Oryzias latipes: one gene and its partners. The protein of the gene in region 3 interacts with the protein of the main gene of each other region in a pairwise test. Links are inferred from orthologs where the notes say so. Each region holds a gene or a part of one and is shown on either strand. Other genes may lie near its edges. The genes, in order: rpap1, coil and polr2l.

The links.
Region 1: the proteins of polr2l (region 3) and rpap1 interact in binary tests that used the Homo sapiens proteins (3 or more experiments, as listed by UniProt). The link is inferred for Oryzias latipes from reciprocal best matches to the Homo sapiens genes POLR2L and RPAP1.
Region 2: the proteins of polr2l (region 3) and coil interact in binary tests that used the Homo sapiens proteins (3 or more experiments, as listed by UniProt). The two-hybrid records come from large-scale screens. The link is inferred for Oryzias latipes from reciprocal best matches to the Homo sapiens genes POLR2L and COIL.

The regions. Positions count from the first base shown.
Region 1 is NC_019880.2:11,592,284-11,600,346, forward strand, and holds part of rpap1 (RNA polymerase II-associated protein 1), read left to right. Parts: coding exon 1-96; intron 97-188; coding exon 189-368; intron 369-442; coding exon 443-577; intron 578-644; coding exon 645-815; intron 816-5,102; coding exon 5,103-5,260; intron 5,261-5,373; coding exon 5,374-5,544; intron 5,545-5,618; coding exon 5,619-5,814; intron 5,815-5,918; coding exon 5,919-6,028; intron 6,029-6,108; coding exon 6,109-6,304; intron 6,305-6,878; coding exon 6,879-7,025; intron 7,026-7,132; coding exon 7,133-7,275; intron 7,276-7,360; coding exon 7,361-7,793; intron 7,794-8,063. UniProt on the Homo sapiens protein: Forms an interface between the RNA polymerase II enzyme and chaperone/scaffolding protein, suggesting that it is required to connect RNA polymerase II to regulators of protein complex formation.
Region 2 is NC_019866.2:24,976,455-24,984,617, reverse strand, and holds the start of coil (coilin), read right to left. Parts: upstream 4,679-8,163; 5' UTR 4,539-4,678; coding exon 4,288-4,538; intron 3,046-4,287; coding exon 2,205-3,045; intron 2,132-2,204; coding exon 2,042-2,131; intron 1-2,041. Other genes in the region: scpep1 (retinoid-inducible serine carboxypeptidase), read left to right, coding at 5,427-5,484, 5,665-5,795, 7,399-7,488, 7,686-7,841, 7,967-8,041. UniProt on the Homo sapiens protein: Component of nuclear coiled bodies, also known as Cajal bodies or CBs, which are involved in the modification and assembly of nucleoplasmic snRNPs.
Region 3 is NC_019861.2:18,858,442-18,865,588, forward strand, and holds polr2l (DNA-directed RNA polymerases I, II, and III subunit RPABC5), read right to left. Parts: upstream 4,039-7,147; 5' UTR 3,907-4,038; intron 3,466-3,906; exon of another isoform or gene 3,448-3,465; 5' UTR 3,439-3,447; coding exon 3,344-3,438; intron 3,063-3,343; coding exon 2,951-3,062; 3' UTR 2,812-2,950; downstream 1-2,811. Other genes in the region: cpsf7 (cleavage and polyadenylation specificity factor subunit 7), read left to right, coding at 1-13, 235-332, 1,158-1,302, 1,414-1,633; uncharacterized protein LOC101163646, read right to left, coding at 7,006-7,147. UniProt on the Homo sapiens protein: DNA-dependent RNA polymerase catalyzes the transcription of DNA into RNA using the four ribonucleoside triphosphates as substrates.

The DNA of each region.
Region 1 (8,063 bases), on a different chromosome or scaffold from region 3:
TTCCTGCTCCGCTTTGCCCTGGACGATGGCGTGGAGGGAGTGATGTCTGCAGCTGTGCACGCGCTTAAAGCCCTTCTCGTGTCTTCTGAAGATGAGGTTAGATTTTCCTGAGATTCTCCTCATTTTTTTTTCTTTTTTTGTGAATTCTAAACCCCCCCAAAAAAGTTTAATTTGGAAAAATGTTTCAGGAGTGCATGGATTCTACTTTCTCCTGGTACCTGGGTTTGGCCTCCTTCCCTCTGCTGCCCTCTTCCCAAGATGATGAGGAGGAGGATTATGAAGGGGTGGATGGATGCATGAAGCAGACGGCCAAAGAAAAGGAGGAACAGAAGAGTGATTTTGATGTTACCCAGCAGGATGTCGTCAAGGTGAACAAACCACTTCTCCTGCTCTTTCTTCTGCTTCCTTTGAGTCCAGACGGCTGACTTCTTTTATGTTTTAGGGCTTATTAAAGATGAAGCTGCTCCCCAGGCTGCGCTACATTCTTGAGGTGATGCGGCCGTCCCCTCGGGTGGCTCAGGACGTCCTGCAGATCCTGACCCGTGTGGCCCGACACTCGCTGTCATCTGCCACTGAGGTAAGAAGAGTGAAAGGAGCAGCTCACAAACTCACTGGATCACTCCAGCCCTTCATCTCCTCCTCAGGTGTTGAACTGTCCTCGTCTGATGGAGACGGTAACGTCAGAGTTTCTCCCCACTTCCTGGTCGGCATCTTCCTCACCCAACCCTCAGTCCATATATGGAGTTCCTGTGCCCAGCGCCATGAAGCTCTTGAGGGTCTTGGCTACATCTGGCAGACATAACTGTGCCAGACTGGTAATTATTTTTAATACTGGAAAAAACTGTCATTTTAGCTGCTTTGAGATGCATTTGAAATCAAATCACTTTAATTTATGTGGCGCCTTAATATGATTGCAGTCAAACAAACATTAAAAAAGCAGTTAAAGGGTTAAAACAATTACAAAGTAAAGTAGTGCAAAATAAAAATATATAATATAGTAAAATAATGACAGACAAAAAGCAGAGGTTAAATAAAAAAATACCAGCAGACAACCATCAGTTTAGATTATTACCATAAGTGTTCCTTCATTTCTTTTAAGTCTCAATCTTTTAATATTAAAGCATATTAATATGCTTTAATATGCTTTTTCCCAGTGGTCTTTTAGTGATGTTTATGCCGTTTTTAGGCTAAATCTAAAATCCTGTGTTGTTTTCTAGGACAAAGTTTCTGCAGAGCGGCAATAGTTCATTGGAAATTGCCCTCTGAGTTGTGGGTGGGACTGTTGGCATTGAGTAAGCTCGCCCTTTGTTGCTGTTGATTTGATTAAAAAAAAACTCAGAAAAATACATTTAAGATTAATTTTCTTTATAATGACACAACGATGACACAATGATTAAAGACTCACTCTGGAAGAGTTGGATAAATGCATAATCTGGTGGAGGTGAAAGTTTAGTTTCTATTGAGGCCAGAACAGGTGGATCGAGTTTAAACTGACACACTAAAGACTTATGGCACCAAATCTTGAATATATACCTGTGCCATCAATGGAAGAACTTGGACTTGTATTATGCTCAGGAAGTCAGTTACTGTAGATTTGTTTTCCTTTTTTCTGAAAAATCACATTAAAGATGTGATTTAAGAAGCTAGTCTGGATCAGAACTTTGTTCCAACTCCCCCTTACCCGGGCCTCTGGGAAACATACACATTTATTCATAACATTTATAACAACAATCACTACAGATATAATTTAATTAACTCTAGGAACAGAACGTTCTTTAAAAGGGTTTATGCTGCATCAAATATTTAATATTAATAAACCATAAATATCTATTTATGTTTTTTTTCTTTGTTCTACCACAGATTTTCTCCTCTGACAAGTTTTTACATTTATTTTAAAGTTTCTTACTCCAGTTGCCTTTAAAAATGATAGTTGATTATTTAAATTGTTTTTATTTTAGTCATGCTTTGGGCAACTTTTAATCCAGCTGAAGCATTTTCGGATCTTAGATAAAGAACTTTACTCATGGCTTTTTATATTTGTGAACAATAGTATGATAAGGTCATAAACAAGTTGGCTGCTCAAACATATTAACTAAAATATGTTTTTCAAGAGGTTTTTGCTTTTTAAGATGAATTATTTACGTGAAATTCATCCATTTTTTGGTTCTGGTGCAGGTGGAGTCCAGAGATGAGGGGAAGTGGCACTTTAGTCAAATTTGCACAGTTAAAGCTTCATTTAAAGTAAAGTACAAAATATCAGACAGGAAACTTCATGTTCTCATTTGTTTTTCAGTTTTCATGTCAAATAGAATTAAATCTCCTATATGGTTATATTGGATTAAGTCTATACTTAAAATTATATACAATTCTGAACTTTCAAAGTGAAGATTACAAAGGTCCCTAAAGTTTCTGCAGGAAGGAAGTGGAAGCCCAAAGGAGGCGGAGCTACAGCTTCAGGCAGCATTGATGCACAGGTGCTGCATGAATGTGGCGGCTTTGGTTTCAGTCTGTCTCAGCAGTTGCAGAGCAGCTGTGGCTGATAGCAGAAGGCTGGTTGTTAATAAATCAAAGCTCAAGAGGAAGGTGCAACATGTGCAAAAGCAGTTTCTCTGATGACACGAGGAAGAGAAAGAAACGAAATGGGAGATGCAGGCAGGTAGAGATCCATCATGTTTATTGTGTTCAGGGAAAACTTCACCTCCACATATTCTCACAGATTGTAAATAGAAAAAAATGCAGCAATATGGGAAAAAAGCAGACGTTTGTTCATCAAAGAGATAAGTGCAGCACACTAGCAGGCTGTTGGGTAAACTATTCTAGATGAAAAACCGATATGTGAGAGTTGGATTTGGGAAGCCAGCTTATAGTTTTTTAGAATATTGCCTGCACAAACAAGACGAGATGAGAATTTTGTAGTCTGTACATTTCATAAAGCTCACAGTTCCCTGGGACAACTCTAGAAATGACCTACCACAGGAATAAACTTCAAGGCAGAGTCTGCTGCAGAAGCAGAGGAACACAAACGGAGAGCTGAGATTGGCTATAAAGTTTTTTTTGGAAAGTGAGTTTACGCTCTGCTCACAGAGCTGTGTGTTATCACTATGATTTGGTTGCCTTGCTATTCAAACCTGTGCTTATGAGGGGTGTAACGTTTCATTGATTCAACGATTTCTTTTCCTACAATCCAACCAGATCGATCTGTCTGAAGCAGATCGAAAAGACCTAAATCCTTATTGAATATATACAAAATGAGATAAATTAATTAAACGTTAGGTTTATTTAACAGTGATGAAAGTCTTCCGGGAATTCCCGGAAATCCGGGTTTTTGAGCAAACCGAACGTACTTTCCGGGAAATAAAGACCTGATCTCTACGGACAAATCGCTTTCCGGATTAAAAAATGGTCTGAAATCAGCTAATTTTAGCTTTATTTTCTATATTTCTCCGCAGATCGCTTCCTCTATGGTCGTGGCCATCTCTCGTCTTCCGGGCCTAATTGACCAATGACGGGACGTTTTAGTTGCTTTCGGATGCGTCGATGGGTCTGATTGGCTCTGTCTGCACCACGTGGTCAGCGTGACTTGCTTCCCTAGAGACCAAAACTGGCGGACCCACGCTAAACTTTCACAAACACATCTGAAGAGTTTGCGATCAAATTTGTGTTAAAATAATGGCAGGCATCGTCATTATTGAGCCTGGTCACGACCTCAGTTGTGAGAAGACGATAAAAAACAAATTGAAGTGGTCTTGGCTGGAAAAAAAAGATTTTTAAGGTAGTGTAGGTCAAATACTTCTTTGTGTAAAATAATCTCAAAACCACATTTTGAAATAATTTCAACTTTAGTTTTGAGTTTCAGTTTTTATTTTGAATACATTTCTTTATCTAATTTATTTGTATTTCCTAATTACCATGATTTAGTTCAGTATAGTTAACATTAATTATAAGTATTTGATGGTTTGGACCCGCACTCCCTTAAAAAATAATGTTTACAATATTTAGTTTATTTTTTATGTTTGTTTTGATATTTCCCAGATTACTTAGTATTGGTGTTAAAGAATTGATGTATTATGTTATAGAATTATAGTTTAAAGCAGATCCCATATTTTGATGTAATTATAGTTTGAGAAAACAGTGCAAGTGGATGTTGTACATCAGTCATTTCTAAAGCAGAAATAATGTATAAATAACTGAGGTATTTTCATAGAATATCATAGTTACTGGTGTTCTTTTTGCCATTTGGGGCTTTGATGTTACTATATTTTAGCAATTGTATGTTTTGCAGCTTTAAGGAAAAGCATAGATTGTAGGATTGTGTTACTTTGAGCAATTTTCCAAATTCTTTTTTGGGACCAGCAAGTCCTTAATGGAGAGTCAAACTAGGGGTTTGAATGACAAATCATGATGCTCCAATTAGTCTTAGTTTCTTGATAAAGAAGTGAATAACTAGCTGCCAGAATGCACCAGAATGCATCTAAGACCACGTATTTTTCCAAAATTTCGCTCTGTGCCCGCCATATCGCTCAAAGAAAAGTTCAGGGATTTTTTCCTTACCTGACTTTCATCACTGTTTAACTATAACATAAAAACGACCAAGTGCATCACAGTAGACAGCACACACGTGACGGCAGGAAAAAATGATCAAGTCATTGATTTTAACAAAGACATGTGGCCACACGGTGTGCTAGAATGTTCTAATAATGTTCCCTTTGGACCATTTGGATGTGGAAGACCAACAGTGGGATGAACTTTAGAAAACTTAGATGTGAATGAATTTAACAGTGATTATTGTGTACTTATCTGTTTTTACACGTATTTAATTTACACATGATTATCTTGCAAGGAATGTGTAAAACCTCCCCTGCACTGTTCAGGACCCAGGTATTTATCTCTGAGTCACACTGGTTGAATTTTTGGCTAAAATTTCCTGGATCGATGTTTGCTGTTTGATTAGCAGCTTATCAGAAGTCTAGACAAATGTGTGACGGCGAGGCCAATCGATGGGTCGAAAGGTTATTCCAAATATTCGAATGACATAACGGACTATTTGTTGCTGCCACATTCACTTTTGTATTTCTCAAAGAGTTTTTAACTCTGTTTCCTAGTTGAACTCTCTGGGTGTGAAGGAGCGTTTGTCGCGTCTGCTGGGCGCTGAGCCCAGCGAGCTGCTGCTGGAACCGTCCGAGGCTCTCAGGGTCACCACTGAGGCCTACAGGTTCTGGGCGGTGGCAGCCGGTTATGGACAGGCATGCCAACTATACATGTAGGTGAAGCACTGAAGGTTACACTGTATACCAAAGAAAACACCTTAAAAGTAGTTTTGTGGTTAATGTTCTGTTAAATCACCTGTGATTTCACATTTGTTTTTTCTTGAAGAGACTTGTACTCTGCTTTACTGAAGTCACTCCAGTCTGGGCATCGCTTAGCGCCGCCCTCACACGCTCTCCAGCCTCTGCAGCTGCAGCGGCTCTCGGCTTTGCTTTCTCTGCTCACACAGGTCACACACGCAGCCGGCTGCCATCAGGAGTTGCAGGCTGGCGTCCTCAGGTACCTGCAGGATGATGACTCTGTTCTGGTTTGAAGCCTTCGTCTACATGAGGCTTTGTCTGTGTTCATCGCAGCGCTCAGGGGGAGGAGTGCCCTCCTCCGCCTCCTGTTTCCTGGGGTCACGTCTCGGGCTTGCAGGCATCCCTGTTGGGGCATCTGAAGGGTCTTGTCAAAAGCCTTGATAGTCCAGTTCAGGCAGATAGCAGCTTGACCCTGATACCAGCTTATCTGGTCTATCTCCAAGCGTACTACCAACAGCTCTCCAGACAGGTACTCCGTTCTGTCTTCTATCTGCAGAGCAATCGAGGTATTTCAAGTTTGAAGTAAAAACAAACAAATAATTTTATATTTTTCTTTTAATGCATATACAACAGACCTTTTTCAAACCAGTGGAGACTCTTCAGGAGCTGGAGCTTCTGACCTCCGATGTTCTTCTTCCACTTCTGTGTCACAGTGTTGTGCAAGGTCTGATGAACAACCTGAGGTACTTCTGATAACTCTGCTGCTCTTTTCTCTCAAAATGTACATTTTAAGGCTGTTTATTTTCATTTTCATCTTGTTTAGATCCTCTTCTTTGGTTTGCAACGTTCAGTCCCACCATCCGGGTCCAGAGACGACCTCGAATCTTCCAGGTTTAGCCTGCGCAGGATGGAAGGAACGTTCTGGGCTTGTTGTTCCCAGCTCCCCTTTTGCTCTTGTGATCGGATTGGGATCCCTCTTGGAAACAATCACAGGGATCCATAGAGGTCTCAGCAGCAAGGTGGAGTTTAACACATTATTATAACCCATTAATGTGGCATTACATTCAAAACATGTAGTGAAATTGTTACAAAGGTGTTGCCCTCTGGTGGTGAATAACAAAAACCTCTCATATCTGAGGTGTTGGGGTTGAGAGGACATTAGTTGTAGAATTCTTAAAACTTTAGCACTGCTTTTAAATAAATCATTTTATTAAATATTTTTTAAGTAATACAAAAATCTAATATTTTTCATATTTTATGAATAAATGAAAACAAGTAAAATGAATAAAAAATGAATTCCAGTTTTCTTTCTTTTTTTAAAGGGAGTTATCCATTATGTAAGCAAAGGGAAATCCTTTTTTACTATTTGTTAAATAATTTATTTCTTGGTAAGAATAGAGCAGTCTATGACAGTTTTTGTTTGTTGTACTTTGGATGACAGTCTCATAAAAAGTAGTAAAAAGTTGTTCTTTTTTTGTAAATGGTTACATTTTATATGAATTTTTTCATCTGTCCCTAAAGTTTTCTATTAAGGCCTATTTGGAGTGCTTTTCTTTAATCCTTAAATGCCTGAATTTCTTTCCTTCTTTCTAGTTCTCGAGCTTCCTCCTGTCAGAGCCTGTGATTGGTTACCTGCAGGCCTGCAGTAAGTCCACGCCCACTCTGTCTGTGTCCAGGGCTTGGCTCCTTCGTCACGAACACCTCCTCCTGTACCTGCTGCTGCGGATGGCTCACAGGCTGGTGGGTGTGGATCTACTTTGAGTTGTGGGGTAGATATTTGTCATTTTGAAAGAGCTGCATTGTTTCATTTTTCTTCCGTTTCCTTTTCTTTTTTAAACATTTCTCAGGTTCCTGTCGATGTAGAGGTGGCGAAACAGGCCTCACTTTATCACCAGGTGGCACTGGTGCTTCTTCCCTGGTTATTACCAGGCAGTGAATACTTGGCACATGAACTGCTGTCTACTGTTATATTCAACAAGGACTTTATATCGTAAGAAAAACTATTTCCTCTGGATAATTACACCTTTATTGTCTGATAGTTAGTCTAAGTTTTTGTTGTTTGTTTTTCTGTTAAGAGAGGGACACAGTGGAGGTCCAGAGGCTGTGGAGCTCGGGGAGCTAAAGCTTCACGACGACGTCAGACTCCACCCATCTCCATCTCTACAGACTGTTGGCGCTCTCCTCAGAGAAGCCTGCGTTCAGCTGCCGTCTATACGGGGCTGCTTCCTCACTCATCTCGCCTATCTGGAACCGTCTGTGATCGCGTCCCGAAAAGCCCTGCTTGGACGCAACCCGTGGATCAGTTCCCACCTCCTCCCGGAGGTCACGGGGCCCACCCTGCCATCTGACTGGCCGTTCCTCCCCCTCATCAAACTGTACGAGCAGACAGGAGTGTCTGGCGGCGGGGGGCTGGCTGTAGAGGAGCTTCCAGCGGGGGCTCTACAGGCGGCTGTCCACTGTTTGCAGTGGCTACTGCTGCTGGAGGTTTGGAGGGAGGAGTCCTTAAAGGTACAAAATCGAAGAATGCACTCATTTATTATCTGCCCTCAAGATTTACTGGTTTTTAATTCTTATTGAAAATATGAAAAGTCATTAGTCAAATTTGTCACCTTGTTTTAGCACACTGTCATTCAGTTTTAATGGGCCGTGCAAAATCCGTTTTTTTTAAATTTTAAGTTTATCATAATGTTCATTCCTCACAAAAAGAAACCCCAAAGGTGGTATTTTGATCCATGCACACATTTCTGACTATTCTTCTAAAATCCTGCGCTCTGAGCA
Region 2 (8,163 bases), on a different chromosome or scaffold from region 3:
GAAGCTGGAGCAGCTGAAGCTGGAGCAGCTGAAGCTGGAGCAGCAGCAGCTGGAGCAGCTGAAGCTGGAGCAGCAGCAGCTGGAGCAGCAGCAGCTGGAGCAGCAGAAGCTGGAGCAGCAGCAGCTGGAGCAGCTGAAGCTGGAGCAGCTGAAGCTGGGGCAGGAGCAGCTGGAGCAGCTGAAGCTGGAGCAGCAGCAGCTGGAGCAGCAGCAGCTGGAGCAGCTGAAGCTGGAGCAGCAGCAGCTGGAGCAGCAGCAGCTGGAGCAGCTGAAGCTGGAGCAGCAGCAGCTGGAGCAGCTGAAGCTGGAGCAGCAGCAGCTGGAGCAGCTGAAGCTGGAGCAGCAGCAGCTGGAGCAGCTGAAGCAGCAGCAGCTGGAGCAGCTGAAGCTGGAGCAGCTAGAGCTTGAGCAGCTGAAGCTGGAGCAGCAGCAGCTGGAGCAGCTGAAGCTGGAGCAGCAGCTGGAGCAGCAGAAGCTGGAGCAGCAGCAGCTGGAGCAGCTGAAGCTTGAGCAGCTGAAGCTGGAGCAGCAGCAGCTGGAGCAGCTGAAGCTGGAGCAGCAGCTGGAGCAGCTGAAGCTGGAGCAGCAGCTGGAGCAGCTTAAGCTGGAGCAGCAACTGGAGCAGCAGAAGCTGGAGCAGCAGAAGCTGGAGCAGCTGAAACTGGAGGCAGCTGAAGCTGGAGCAGCAGAAGCTGGAGCAGGAGCAGCTGGAGCAGCAGAAGCTGGAGCAGCAGAAGCTGGAGCAGCAGAAGCTGGAGCAGCAGCAGCTGGAGCAGCTGAAGCAGCAGCAGCTGGAGCAGCTGAAGCTGGAGCAGCAGAAGCTGGAGCAGCAGCAGCTGGAGCAGCTGAAGCAGCAGCAGCTGGAGCAGCTGAAGCTGGAGCAGCTAGAGCTTGAGCAGCTGAAGCTGGAGCAGCTAGAGCTTGAGCAGCTGAAGCTGGAGCAGCAGCAGCTGGAGCAGCTGAAGCTTGAGCAGCTGAAGCTGGAGCAGCAGCAGCTGGAGCAGCTGAAGCTGGAGCAGCAGCTGGAGCAGCTGAAGCTGGAGGCAGCTGAAGCTGGAGCAGCAGCAGCTGGAGCAGCTGAAGCTGGAGCAGCAGCAGCTGGAGCAGCAGAAGCTGGAGCAGCTGAAGCTGGAGCAGCTGAAGCTGGAGCAGCAGCAGCTGGAGCAGCAGCAGCTGGAGCAGCTGAAGCTGGAGCAGCTGACGCTGGAGCAGCAGCAGCTGGAGCAGCTAGAGCTTAAGCAGCTGAAGCTGGAGCAGCAGCAGCTGGAGCAGCTAGAGCTTGAGCAGCTGAAGCTGGAGCAGCAGCAGCTGGAGCAGCTGAAGCTTGAGCAGCTGAAGCTGGAGCAGCAGCAGCTGGAGCAGCTGAAGCTGGAGCAGCAGCTGGAGCAGCTGAAGCTGGAGCAGCAGCAGCTGGAGCAGCAGAAGCTGGAGCAGCTGAAGCTGGAGCAGCTGAAGCTGGAGCAGCAGCAGCTGGAGCAGCTAGAGCTTAAGCAGCTGAAGCTGGAGCAGCAGCAGCTGGAGCAGCTGAAGCTGGAGCAGCTAGAGCTTAAGCAGCTGAAGCTGGAGCAGCAGCAGCTGGAGCAGCTGAAGCTGGAGCAGCTGAAGCTGGAGCAGCAGCAGCTGGAGCAGCAGCAGCTGGAGCAGCTGAAGCTGGAGCAGCAGCAGCTGGAGCAGCTAGAGCTTAAGCAGCTGAAGCTGGAGCAGCAGCAGCTGGAGCAGCTGAAGCTGGAGCAGCTAGACCTTAAGCAGCTGAAGCTGGAGCAGCAGCAGCTGGAGCAGCAGCAGCTGGAGCAGCTGAAGCTGGAGCAGCAGCAGCTGGAGCAGCTGAAGCTGGAGCAGCAGCAGCTGGAGCAGCAGAAGCTGGAGCAGCTGAAGCTGGAGCAGCTGAAGCTGGAGCTGCTGTTCTCCACTCTGGTAAATTCTGTCATCAGTTGTCAGATTTCTGGACGTTTGAGGTTTAAACTTTTGTTTGGGATGTTTCTAAATCCAAGCGGAGCCCCTCAGCAGTCAGATGTTTGTGACGTTGGAGGACGGACCTCACCTTGAAAGCGATCCTTTGCCCCGGCTGTGCAGGAGCGGCCAGCAGGGGCATGGAGCTGTAGTCCCGTGTGGGGGGGCCCCCGGCTCCATTCTGCAGACACACAAGCACCAGATTCAGACGTTTCCTCCGTCTGCAGCGTAAGAGAAAAGGGGCGGGGACTGACCTGGAGGAGCGGTGGCGTGTTGGTCGGGGAACGCGCCTGGAGGGGGGGCTCTTTGTCACTGTTCTGACCGCTGAGGCCCCGGCCTGCTGCCCCCCCAGCACCTCCACGCGCCCCCCTGCCGCCGCCGCGCCGTGACCAGAGGCCGTCCGCGTGTCTGTTAGGCTGCTGCGGCCGTCGGATGACCAGCTGGATCTCTTCCTCACTCCCAGCATCAGCAGGCTCCGCCCCTTTGTCCTGAGGGGGGGCTGCCTGGACCACATCTGTCTGTTTCAGCGCTGACGGAGCTTCTGGGCATTTGGGGGTGGGGGTACTTCCATCAGAGTCTGTTTCTGAGGACGATGAAGAGGGAGGCCGTGTGTTCTTCTGGGGGGGCTTGGTGTTTGGGGGCGTTTTGGAAGCAGCAGGGGTGGGGGGCGCCGTCCTTGCGGCAGTTCTTTTGGGGCAGTTGCTTTCCTCGCTGCTGGACTCTGTGGAGGAACTCTGCGTTTTGGCTGGGGCCTTCTTCTTGTTGCTTCCAGCTGATGGGGGGGCACTGGGCGGGTTTTTTCTGGGGGGGGCAGCAGGTGTAGGAGCAACAGTGTTACTTTTCTCCCCCTCCTTTTTCCTTTTCTTCTTGCTGCTCCTCCCCGGAGACGCCTCCCTCCTGTCAACCGTCTCCTGCTTGCTCCTTCCGGCCTCCCCCTCCTCTCGTTTCTTCTTCTTCTTCTTCTTCTTCTTCTTCTTGTTTTCAGCCAGCTGCCCCTCCTCCCCCCCGTCTCTCCGTCTCTTTTTGCTTTTGACTCCTTCTGCGTCTGCGCAGCTGCTGCAGCCGTTCAGCGCAGCCACACAGTCCACATTCACCCTGCAGAACAAGAAACATTTCTGCATGAAACGCATCCAGAACCGACCCGTTCTACAATGTAAACCCCCCCCCCCAAACCCACGCTGAAGAGAGCGTTCATAGTCAGAGGAAGAAGAAAGGCTCGAGCTTCATCTCAGACCGCACAGGCCTCAGGCAGTAATAGAAAAATGGCCTCCGTGGTGTCTGTGTGTACATTTCCCCAAACTGCATCTTGATCAACCAAGGCCCATTAGAACCATTGACTGATTCTTTAGAATTGGACCGAGCCAGTGTGACGTCATCCATTGAAAACGACTTCCAGCTCCAACCAAATGAAGTCAGTGCAGTCCCCATTCTTGTTGTTGCTAAACGAACACCGCCATGTTGGAGCCAGACAACATCAAGAAGCAGTGATTGGTCAGTCCGAGTCAATGTTTCTATGGCAACCAGTATCACCAATCAGGAGTGAGCTTGTTAGAGGTCCACACCCCTTCCACTTGAGAGCGGGCTCTGGAAAACGTGTCAATCAAATGTTTTGACCATTTGATGTGGGTGGCAAGGAGGCTCCGCCTACCTTTGTTGAAGCATCTGATTGGTCAGTTTAGAACTTGATTTACAGAAAAATATATCATGAATAAAAGAGGATTAACAAAAACATGTTTAAATAAAAGTATCAGATCCAGAATGTTTTTACTGACCAATAGAATGAATGACTAACAGCTGTTTATTTCTCAAGTCTGTGGGATTTTAGTTTCTGAGAGCCACTTCCTGTTTGGAATGCCAGGGGGCGGGGCCACTCAGTCCAGTTCTCATATTCAGTCAATGGTTCTGATCCTCCACCTGCAGACCGACAGATCCATGAAGGTCTTTGTTTTCCTGGTCTGAGCTGGAATCTGGGTCAGAACTGGACGGACGGATGGATCTGATGTTGCTGCTGTTTTGGTTGCACCGCTAACGTTGGGTTGGGGCTGTAAGCTAGTGGGAGAGAGTGTAAACTAGGGGATGATGGGACATCAGTGGAGGGTTACTTCTGCGCCACAGTCCCGCCCACAAGTCAGAGGTGAATTTCTGATGAACTTTTTGAAATAATTTGTCTAAAAACATTAAGATCACTGGGAACACTTTGAAAACAGACTAAAATGATCGGATTGGGCCTTAAGTCCTTCAGGTCCGGATATCTGTGGTGTCAGCCTGCAGGCTCGAACCGTTTCGGAAACGACACCGGCACATCAGGACCCCGCTGTGTGTGGGATGCGCGCGCACCTGACGCTGTCGTTGTCGCGCACGACGAAGATGCTCTCCGTGTGCGGAAGGTAGCAGTCCTCCACGAACAGGCTGAGGACGCTCCCGCGGCTGAACTCGAACTTCTGCCGGATCAGACCCTCCAGGTCCGCCACCACGCGACACGCGTTCCGGTCCACGAGCAGCCAGCACATGCGGCACCCCGCCACGGCCGGAGGGGGGTAGTCAAAGAGCAGCCGCAGGCGGATCAAGCTGTCTCCGAGCGCCGCCATGACACCCTCCGCGACAACACGCCGCCCCGCGCATGCGCAGAGGATAAAGCGCTGCTTTTGTCACGACACTGCCCTCTGCCGGTCCGGAGTGTATCCCATCTGCCTTTTCACTCGTTTAAAATTAAAACAGCATCCCATAATAATTCACGGGGCTCTTTAGGGAGATTTACAAGGATTTTTAACTGTTCTGTTCAGAGTTTGGACAAGGAGGCCTGGATCTCAATAATTCTTCATCCAGGTCAAAGACCCACTCAGGATAAAATCGTGTTGTTGTTTTTTTAGCATGTTCTTTTAGCCTTTCTCTCATGATGGAGGGCATCATGAGGATCACCAGGATTCAATCGTGGCAAATCAGGCGCAGATTTCTAAAATGCTGTTTGAAAACATTTGGTCCCTCCTTTGTTCAGACTCTTGTGATAGTGGAATTGTCCAAGGGGTTTTGGATTGATGAAGCACAAAGAGTTATTTTCACTGAAAGTAAGGAGCCAAGCCTTAAGCCTAGCTTCTGAAACTATACATAAACCCACACCATGATCCTCCCACCACCAAACCTTACTGTTAGCACAATGTAGACAGACAGAGACACTTTACAGCACTAGGTGATGGATAACTGACTGCAGATGGTTGCCGTGGAAACCATGGTCCGTGACCTCAGTGACCTTCGGGGAATTTTGGAATGAAAAAAAAAATCTCACAATGAGAAAAATTCTTTTAAAATTTTGATGTTTCAGAAACTTAGGATCTTCTTTTTTTCTGTCTGTTTTCTTGTTTTTAAAAAACTCAAAAAATCGGAGTCAGCCGATCAGCTGACTCCTGGGCGTGGTCATGTGACTTTTGGTCACGTGACTCGTCATCGGTGAAGTCCCTCTCCGCCAGTTTGCAGCAAAAATGTGCGGCTCCGTGGTGCTTTTCTGGCTCTGCGCGTCCGCTGTGCTCGTCCGTGATGGTGAGTTCCGTGGGTCGAGCAGAACTTCTTCATCACTTCTTCTCCCGCCTCCAGATCCTTTCATCTCTGGACTTGTCCTCGCTTCAGTAAATCCGATGACTGTCAAACGAAAGTAACCTCGGTTTCTGTCGGTGTGCGCATGCTCGTCAGGGTATTTGCTTCTCACCTGTCTGTCCGCAGGGCTGTGCGCGCCCCCGCCACCCAAAGAGGCGTGGAACTACGTGGAGGTGAGGGACGGGGCCCACATGTTCTGGTGGCTCTATCACGCCGACGCTGGGTTCCGGGAGCTCCCGCTGGTCATGTGGCTGCAGGTGCGTGCGTGTGCGTGCGTGTCTGAAGCTGACACGAGCAGAGATGACCTGAGCTCAAGGGTCTTGATCTGTGGGCTGAAGCTGTTCTGCTGGTGATGAAGATGAGAGGAGGGAAACATTTCCATCAGCACTTTGAATCTACAAGGAAGTGCATGAACTAAAATAGAGAAAAGTAGAATCCATGGAGGATCTATTGTCCAGGTTCTGCAGTCTGACTTCTGCTGGAAGGCGAAAAAAACCCTAAAAAGGTGATCCGATGACTGAATGACTCAGTCACGTTACAGGAAAACCTATTTTTATTTAAGTGACACAAAATCTCCAACTTCCTCAAAATGAGAAGCTGTCAAAAATCCCCCTGATGTCCTCCGTTTTCCTCCCTAAAGCATCAGAGGAGACAGAAGAGGTTAAAAAAAGGATAAGAAAAAGAGAATATGAATGTCTGTGAAGAAAACCAGGAAGTGAGTTCCTGAGTGGAGTCGGTCCGTTCTGCTGTGAATGATTCATAGAGCTGCTTCAGCAAAACGGTTCCGTCCCTCTTCAGGGAGGAGGACCGACACGGACAAGTCCAGCGGAGGTGGACTATGGTATAACTAAGGGAAATGAGTGGACTCTGCAGAACCGTCCGACGGTTCTGATAACCAACCCCCCTGTCAGGCATTATCCCGCTTATACCAAAGTCACCAATGAAAAAGATAAATAGGAATTCAATTATTAGTATCTTGTTGTTTTGTTTTTTCACCCAAATAAACCACCAGACTCTATGCCATGCGTTGTCATGGTAACGGCTACTGACCTCGCTCTAGAGCAGGTTAAATAAAGCATCAGCTTTGAGAGAAAGTTCTCCTCTTACCGCTCCTTTTAGTCCAGATGATAGTATGAAAGATAAAGGTTGTTTTTAGAAGAAACCAGCGAAGGGATACACAACATTTAGGCCGTGTGACCGGAACTACTTTTTCAGGCGTCCATTATCACTTTTTAATGGGCATCCTGCAGCCAATCAGAATGGAGGTTCTGGTGGAAACCTCAGCAGACATGAAGGGGGGTGTAAGTCGGCATGAGACGCTGCTGTCCTTCACCGTCAGGCCTGGGAGGGGTTGAGAAATGAAAACGAGTTCAGTTTGACCTTTCCCCGCTTTGATGCCGACCTTTTCATGATGTAGCATCGACTTTGTACAGTTGTTGTTGTTTTGTGTGAACGGAAAATTTCAGATCTAAAACCAAACCCTGACAGTTTTTACGGTTGAAGTGTAGAACGCTGCGGGAAAAATCTGCTGGGCAGAAGAGGCCTGAGAGAAGCCCACATTATCAGCCCTCCACCACCGTGCCTGACAGTTGGTCTCATGTGTCCACAGATTGGTGAATCTGGTTGGTTTTGATGCAGATTCATTTCAGCAGCTTTAGATTCATCTTTTCTGTTGAGCCATTAAGGACAAAGAGCATAAAGCAGAGGTCACAGGGGTCACAGAGGTCAGAGGGGTCACAGAGGTCACCATCTGCTGCAATCGCATCTTTTTTTGGTCATGTTTTTCCTACACGAAACAGCACATTTGGAAAGAAATGATAAGTTTTTTTTAGGTCTAACAGCAAACTCTGCCGTTCTCAGGGTGGACCCGGGGGGTCTGGAAGCGGATTTGGAAACTTTGAGGAAATCGGGCCCTTGGATCGGGATCTACAGCCCAGAAGCACCAGTTGGGTGAGAAGGTTTTTCTTCTGGAGGGAAACAGTTGGAGCCACAGTGGAGCCGTTGTGATTGGCGGACGTGTCTGTGAGCTCAGCGTTTCCTTGGTCCTGTGTGGGGCTGCTGGGAAATCATGGAACAGAACCAGAGTCTGGACCACAGACCTGAGGCCGCTGTCAGGAGGAGGTTTTTCACACCTGTTTCCCCTGCAGGTGAAGGCGGCCAGCGTGCTCTTTGTGGACAACCCCGTGGGCACCGGCTTCAGCTTCGTGGACCGGGCCGACGGCTTCGCCACAGACGTGTCCATGGTGGCCTCGGACATGCTGGTGCTGCTCCAGAACTTCTTCACGGAGCGGCCCGAGTTCCAGGTTCCACAGCTGCCTTTCACACGTCTAAACCACCAAAAAGGGGCTCATGGGTTCTGGCAGCAGTTTTTTCTGTAAGCGATCTAAGTAGATCTCAGGATGATCAGAGACTCTTTTGGTCTCCACAGAGCATCCCCTTCTACATCTTCTCTGAGTCGTATGGAGGGAAGATGGCCGCTGCCATCTCCTTGGAGCTCACAAAGGTGAGTGATCTGCTGCTGCTGCTGCTGCTGTGGTGGCGGCGGTCTGCTGCTGTTTTTAAGCCCTCCATGTCTGGTACCAACATCGTGTCCGTGTGTTTTCCTTACTGTAAAGTCCCTCAGAC
Region 3 (7,147 bases):
ACAGCCAACATAAGTAAGAAACTCATCTCATATCTCCAAAAAAAAATGTTCCTTTTGAGAATTTCTTTGAGATCAAACCAACACAACCAGGAATAGAGCAGGCTACATATCAAAATGTCTGATTCCCCTCAAATGGAATACGCTTAAAGTTGTTATTTTTCATTATATTTGGCAAGTTTTGTCTGAAGTAACTGATTTTGTCTTCGCTGTACAATAACTGCTGTTTGTCCAAAGATCACATGTTCCAGATGGAGATTTCGAGGAGCTAATGAACAGAAATCAAACCATTGCCAGCACTGCAATCACAAAAGCTGTGTCTGGAGCCACAGCTGGTAAGTTCAACTTATGAAATTCTAAAGTAAAGTGCAAGACAGAACGCTCGTGGGGAAAAATTAAAACGGAATGCACAGTTTCTAACCTGTTAGTTCCTAGAGACTGTTGAGTAGCTGAATATCACTATAAAATATTTATGATATTGTTTTAGCTTTTGCTGAGAGTGCAGTGTTTAGTAAATCCAAAACAGAGAGCTGACATAAAGGAAATTATTGATATAAGGCTTTTTGATGTTGAATTTTTTTATTACGATGTGGTATATTGCCTCTCTGCAGATCATCTGTTGTTCTTCCAGGCTAGATGGAGAGCATCTTTAAATCTCACTTTTACAAAAAATGTTTCCCCTGACATGGTCAAGAAAACAAAGAGATTTATCTCTGAGACATGTATAGTCTTGCTAGTGGGCTCACAAACTTTATGAGCCCTCTCAGTCTGACTCTTTGGCTCTAATAACCAATCTGCCTCAGCTTTCTGTAGCTGGGTTCTGTTGCTATAGTTTTTACTTTACACATGTTAGGCAGCTGGGTGTCAGTGCGGAGGAGCATCGCACAAAATGAAAGAAGTAATATGAAAGTTTGTTTCTGCAACTTCTCATGCCTTCAAAAGAAGTTGGATCCTCTTAAAAGCTAACACTGCATGCCTCACAGTTCAGTCAAGTTTGGTGAAATTGTTAATATTGTGCTTTTCTGTAACTTAAAAAATTCAAAATAGAAAAAAAAAATCTATCTCTTGACAGGATCTTTAAAGAATTTTGCCCACTTCGAGCTTAATGTTACTTAAAATTAGTTTTCTTCTATGTGTTTTCTGTCCAATTGCTACTCCAGGAGATCTACAAATGGCCATGGAAACACTGTTAACCGCCATTGCAGTTATTAAGCAGTCCAGAGTGTACGGAAATGAACGCTGTGAAGCCCTGGTCACCTCCCTTAAAGACTGTTTGGTCTCCATTCAGGGGGATTATGGCTACAGGTGTGTACATTTCTTCATTTGAATGCTTTTGACTCACTTGAAACTAACCATTTAATAACACATTTGCTGTTTAATGAGTTTTATTCCCATTTCAATGGTTTTTCCCTCTAGAAGAAGTAGTCATTCTAGAGAAAAAGAAAGAGGTCGTGACAGAGAGAGGGAGCGGGATAGAGAACGGGAGCGCGACAGAGAGCGGCACAGAGATCGCGACAGAGATTACTTCCATAGCGGGGAAAGTGCGGGAATGTCCCAGAGACGCAGGGAGCGTTCCTGGAGTGAAGAAAGGGACAAGAGGTGGTCTCGAGAACAGCAAAGGGATCGACACCGCTAACGGGGAACGGTAATAAATACATAAGCCATTACTTTATGAATTTTGCACTTCTTTTTTAAGTTTCACTGGAAAATTCTTAGTTCCACATAACTAGTGATGTAAATAACGCTTTTATGCGTGGCCATTTTTGCTTTAATTTGAATAAAATGAGAAAAGTTGGAATTTTATTAAAATAATTCTAACATTAAATTGTTTTTGTCTTTGAAAAAACTGCTTTATAGCAAACAGCACTTATGGATTTCATTTATCAACAACAGCTTCTCAAAGATGAAAATCAGTTTGAAATCGATTAATATTTATTTAAACCCAGAGTTTTTTTCAATACAGCTATTTCAATTGTGACCAGAAAAATGCAGAGGGGAGATTTCAAGTTATTTTAAGTCACGCTTTTATGAGCGTAATTTATAAAAAAAATCAGGAGGCCAATTCACCAGCCACATTCTTTTTTCTATATAATTTAATCAAAACAAATCCACTGTCTGAATTCTGCTCTTTTTGCTGTTTGAAATGGCTTTATTTATCACAACTGAATCTTAGTTACACATCTCAACAGCAGTTGTGCTGTGTGATTGTTAAAAAAAATCTGTAATTTGCTTTGGACCAATTTAAAACTTGAAAGGGCATTATGAGAGTTTGCTTTTTCCAAATGCTCTATTATAAATAAATTGTTGTAAACATTTTAATTGTTGGTAACAAAGTGGCATTGTAATTTGCTGAAAACCTTCTGCACATTCACTATAACTCTTCAAGAGTTAAAGTTCCAACCGCCATGACGATGTTTTGTTCTTGCTTCCCCAGATTGGAGGCAGAGGAGCATTGTTGCGTCGAGTTGTATATAAAAGAATCAAGGATTGTTTGTTCAATCTGAGAACACGGTTTTGTTCTTCCTTTATATAATAGGACTTGTTTTAACAAAAATTGGCTGTAGATTTTTTCTTGTAAAATAAGACTTTGTTTGCATGCACCATAACAATTCTTTCTGTAATCATTGTAATTTCACATTTCTTTTGGTAGAAAATCTACAATTAAAAAAAATCCCAAAGTATTCTCGTCTTATGTGCTCTGCTGTTGAATAGTATAACATTATTTGTTTGCATGTTTTCATAAGTACATAAAGTGAAAGGTTGAGCGATTTAACTCAACGCCTCAAAAATTAGATGGCATCTCAACTCAGTGAATCGAATACTTTAAAGAAAAAACTTTATTTAAATAAAATTTTCATTGCCACATATGTGCACAATACACCAAGTCATTATTGTTGACATTTCTTAAACACTGAATATATGCACAGGCCATGTTCAAAGCATGTTCTTCCAGCTAAAATTTTTCCAGCGGTGCATAATTTAACAATTTCTCAATAAGATCCACATGGGAAAGCAGCATCCTCCGACAGCAGTACCTCTTCAGGCCCAGGGCATCAAGAGCATCACTAGAAAAGGGAAGATGGAAAAGTAATTTTAGTGCCAGATATTGCTTGCATAATTACAGAAAAAAAAAAAAAAAACATTTCTATAGTTAGTTTTAAATGTTGTATCCTCAAATGGTCTGAATTCAAACTAACATCTTGACTGACAGTGAAACAGGAGGAGTAGAGGTTGAATGAAGGCCTTTATTTAGTTTCAGAAAACTTGACCATATAGCATTACGGTGACACATTGTTGAACGAACGAAACATGAAGGTAAAATGAAAATGAAGCGCATCTGTCTCACCCTTCAGTGTATTCGGCCTGAAGAAGACCAAGGTAGGCTTCCCATTTGTTCCCCACGATCTTCCCACAAGTGAAACACCTCACCGGGATAATCATTTCTGGATGCTTGAAGAAGGAGCCAAACTAAGATATTCAATCCACAATAAATAATATAATCAACAATCAAATCAATAATAAAAAAAAATTAAATAAACAAAAACATGCCAATATGAATATGGTCATATCTGAGAAAGGGTAATTATGTTACACATGTTCCTACAACATAATTCCGCTTATGATGCTAGCAAATACTTCTAAAGGAAGGTACCAACACGTTGTTTAGGAACGTCGTAACTAAAATGAACGCAAATATCTTGCGCTACAATTTCTGTAAACGATATAATATAATTAAGTAACTTGTGTTTAAATTACTGAGATTTAAAAAACAAAAAGAAAGGCCAACGCTAGCCGCGTACATGCAGCTAGCCTAGCAGCACGCCGTCGTTCACATGCTTCCCAAACTCGGGTACAAATGAAATAAAAATATTAGTAACATTACGTTAAAAAAGGAAGTTGTTAACTCACCTTTATTGGTCAAGTTTGTCCAACACTTAAACAGCGTTATTTGTAATAATAGTAGAGACAAAGTTTAACCGTTGACGATATAAACATCACAGCTCAAATAACCATTTCCGGTGTAATACAGAGCTTCCGGATGTGATCCTACAAAATAAAACTAATTTAAATAAACCACTAAATTTAGGTAAACAATGCTGTTGAGTTTAACTGCTGTGTGTTCATTTTCTGTATGTAAAACACAACTTTAGGATTTAACAAAAAAATTATTTTATCGCGTAAAAGTATTTGTTACAAAAACTGACGCGTACGATTTGCATTTTTACTATATATATATATATATATATATATATATATATATATATATATATATATATATATATATATATATATATATATTTTTTTTTTTTTAAAGAAGGTAGCACATTGTCTAAATACAACCTGCATCGGCCCTCAAATATTGAGAAATCTGTTCCTCAAACCAAAATAAAATCACATCTCTCTGGGTGGGTCTGTAATAATACCAGTTAATCCCAGACGACATATGTGTCCAATGATTAAATGCTTTAATTTAAATCACCTACACATTCATGTTCTATGATAAGGAAACAACTACATTTATATGGTATATGTATTCACCAACATTTGTCTATATGCAAATATTACTTTTTGTTATTTGAGGATTTCTCTGCAATAATTTAGAAAACATTCTAATGTTGCCACAGTCATGTGAGTAAAATAAAATAAAAAATCCTTATTTGGGAATTGGCATAAAATGCAAATCCCAAAAAAATCCTCTTTTTCTAATCTTGACTGTAGATCTACAGCTTTCATTTTCAAGTTTAAATATTTTCATTTGGATAGCTTATTAGCCAATACTTTCTGTGAAACTGTTGCTGTTTATTAACTAATCTTTAACTGTCTTTCCTTATTTTCATTTGCAGAAAAAAAAAGTTGTGAACATAAATCAAATGTAAATCTGATCTAAGCCTTAGTCTCATCTAGATTTCTCAACATACCAGTATTCAAAAGTACCGGTACCCAATTCCTTTTTTATATTTGTTGGCAGTCCATGTTAAAACTCTCTTGAACTTACAAGATTCATTCATTCATTCATTTTCTTAACCGTTTTTCCCTTTCGGGGTCACGGGGCTGCCGGAGCCTATCTCGACCACTTGTGGACAGGTCGCCAGTCTGTCACAGGGTAGAACTTACAAGATCATAAATTTAACTGAAACTCACATTTCTACTAATATAATTGCTTTGATAATTCTTGTGCATTTAAAAAAATAATTCAGACTGGTTCACTTCTTTTATTGAGGCTGAAGTTTAAACTCTTCCTTTTTTACATTTAGACATTTGGGGACAAAAGCCGGGCTGCATTATGAAAATCAGTTAAAATATAGAATAATAAAATATCCTTCGTATCATTCTAACAGACACAATGATAACTATCATCATCATTGGCATCATGTATTGTCACCAACATCGCCATCGTCAACACCAAACATTATTACATCATCTATGCAATTTAACTTGCTACAGCACATGTGCTAAATGAATAGTCCTACCTGAATTATTGCATTTATACGCTGTTAAAATTATGAAAATAAGAATTTTTCCTTTTCTTTTTTTGGTACACTATATTGTACAATGTAAGGTGAAATTTACTTTGGTGCTACTATCTTCTTGGACATGGTAGGGGTTGGAAGGGGTGGCTGTGGTGAGTGTTTTATGATAATTTTCTGTCAGAACTGAGCGCAATATCGAAGTTCCTCTACAACTTAAATTATGTGTGTGTTTGTTACCACTGCCTTCCTTCTTCCTGTTTTCATGAAAGCAGAAACTCAAATTTTATAATTCAAGCTAAACAGACATGCTTGTGGAGCTGTACAGGTGATATTTCGGGCAATAAGACTGCATGGGATAGACAACCAGTAGACATGTTTTGGCAACTTGATACTGCAACACTAATGGCTCTTAAGCAACAATGTAAACAGACAGATCTGAGATGGCTGATTGTATTTTGCATGGCATGAAATGTTAATGATTCCTCTTAGCATTTTACAGTAGAGCTTTTCATCTCTTATTTTTGTCTCCTTCAAAATACAATTTAACTTTTTTTCCCCCAAAGTGTACAATAATAGTCCAACAATTAAATACTATCCCTAAAATGCTGCATGCTTCTATGTTTTGTCTTAAAAAAAATAGTATATTGATTTTAATGTACAAATGTTTCTTTTTTGTTTAACCTTTTATGAAATTCAGTCTCTTCTAAACTGCATTCAGAAGTCTAAACTGTAACTGAACTAGATAATTTGGTTCAGGCGTGGTGCACATTATAGCTCACAAACAGCCTAACTATGTTCACTGATATTGGTGTCTGTGACAGAACCGACTTGTCCAAAAAGTAATCAAAAATAATACTAAAATACTTTAAAAGCAAACAGTTCCAAACAGAGATAGGCCAGTTTTTCCATACCAGATGTTTGTCATAAAGTCTGCTTATAGATTAGTAAGTTGTGTAAAAGGGTAGACATTTTTCAAAGTTAAATATGTGCCTTACTAAATCACTGTGCACAACCCTGCCTTTTCTTCTGCCATCTCTGCAGAATGATTTCTGTTTCCTCCTGAAAAAAAAAAATATATATAAAAAAATCCCAGAGCCTGTACAGACTAGAAACATTGAGAAACAAACGAATACAGTATTCATAATCTTTACAAAAATAAACCAAAAATGTTGCAACCATGAGTCCAAGTTAAACATGATAAAGCAGTAAAAGCTGATAAAGCCACATTAGGCCTCTTTTGCTCAACAGTATAGTGTGAGGTTTTTTTCTTCATTTTCTTTTAAGATAATTACATTTCACATGTGGTATAGTGGCAACTTCATGCTTATGCTAAATATTAATATGTACCATACACAGTCTGGATCAAAACTTGAGTGGGTGAATTCACTACCAGTGATAGCAGGCCAAAACAAAATAAAGCGTCTCCCCATCGGTCATTTGCAGTTGAATAGTCTGTGAACCAGTCGTGAAGAACACGCAGAATATTGGACTCTAATAGTGCCCAATAAATACTCCAACTTCATTTCAACATTTAGTTTTAGTTTCTCCTAGCCAGCAGTACTCCCAGCAAGATGGCCCCCACGGCAATGACAGCACCACCAATCAGAAAGGGGGTCAGGTGTTCCAGACAGTTTGTGCCAGAGGCTGCCGTCTCGTCACCTGCTGCTGCTGCTGCTGCT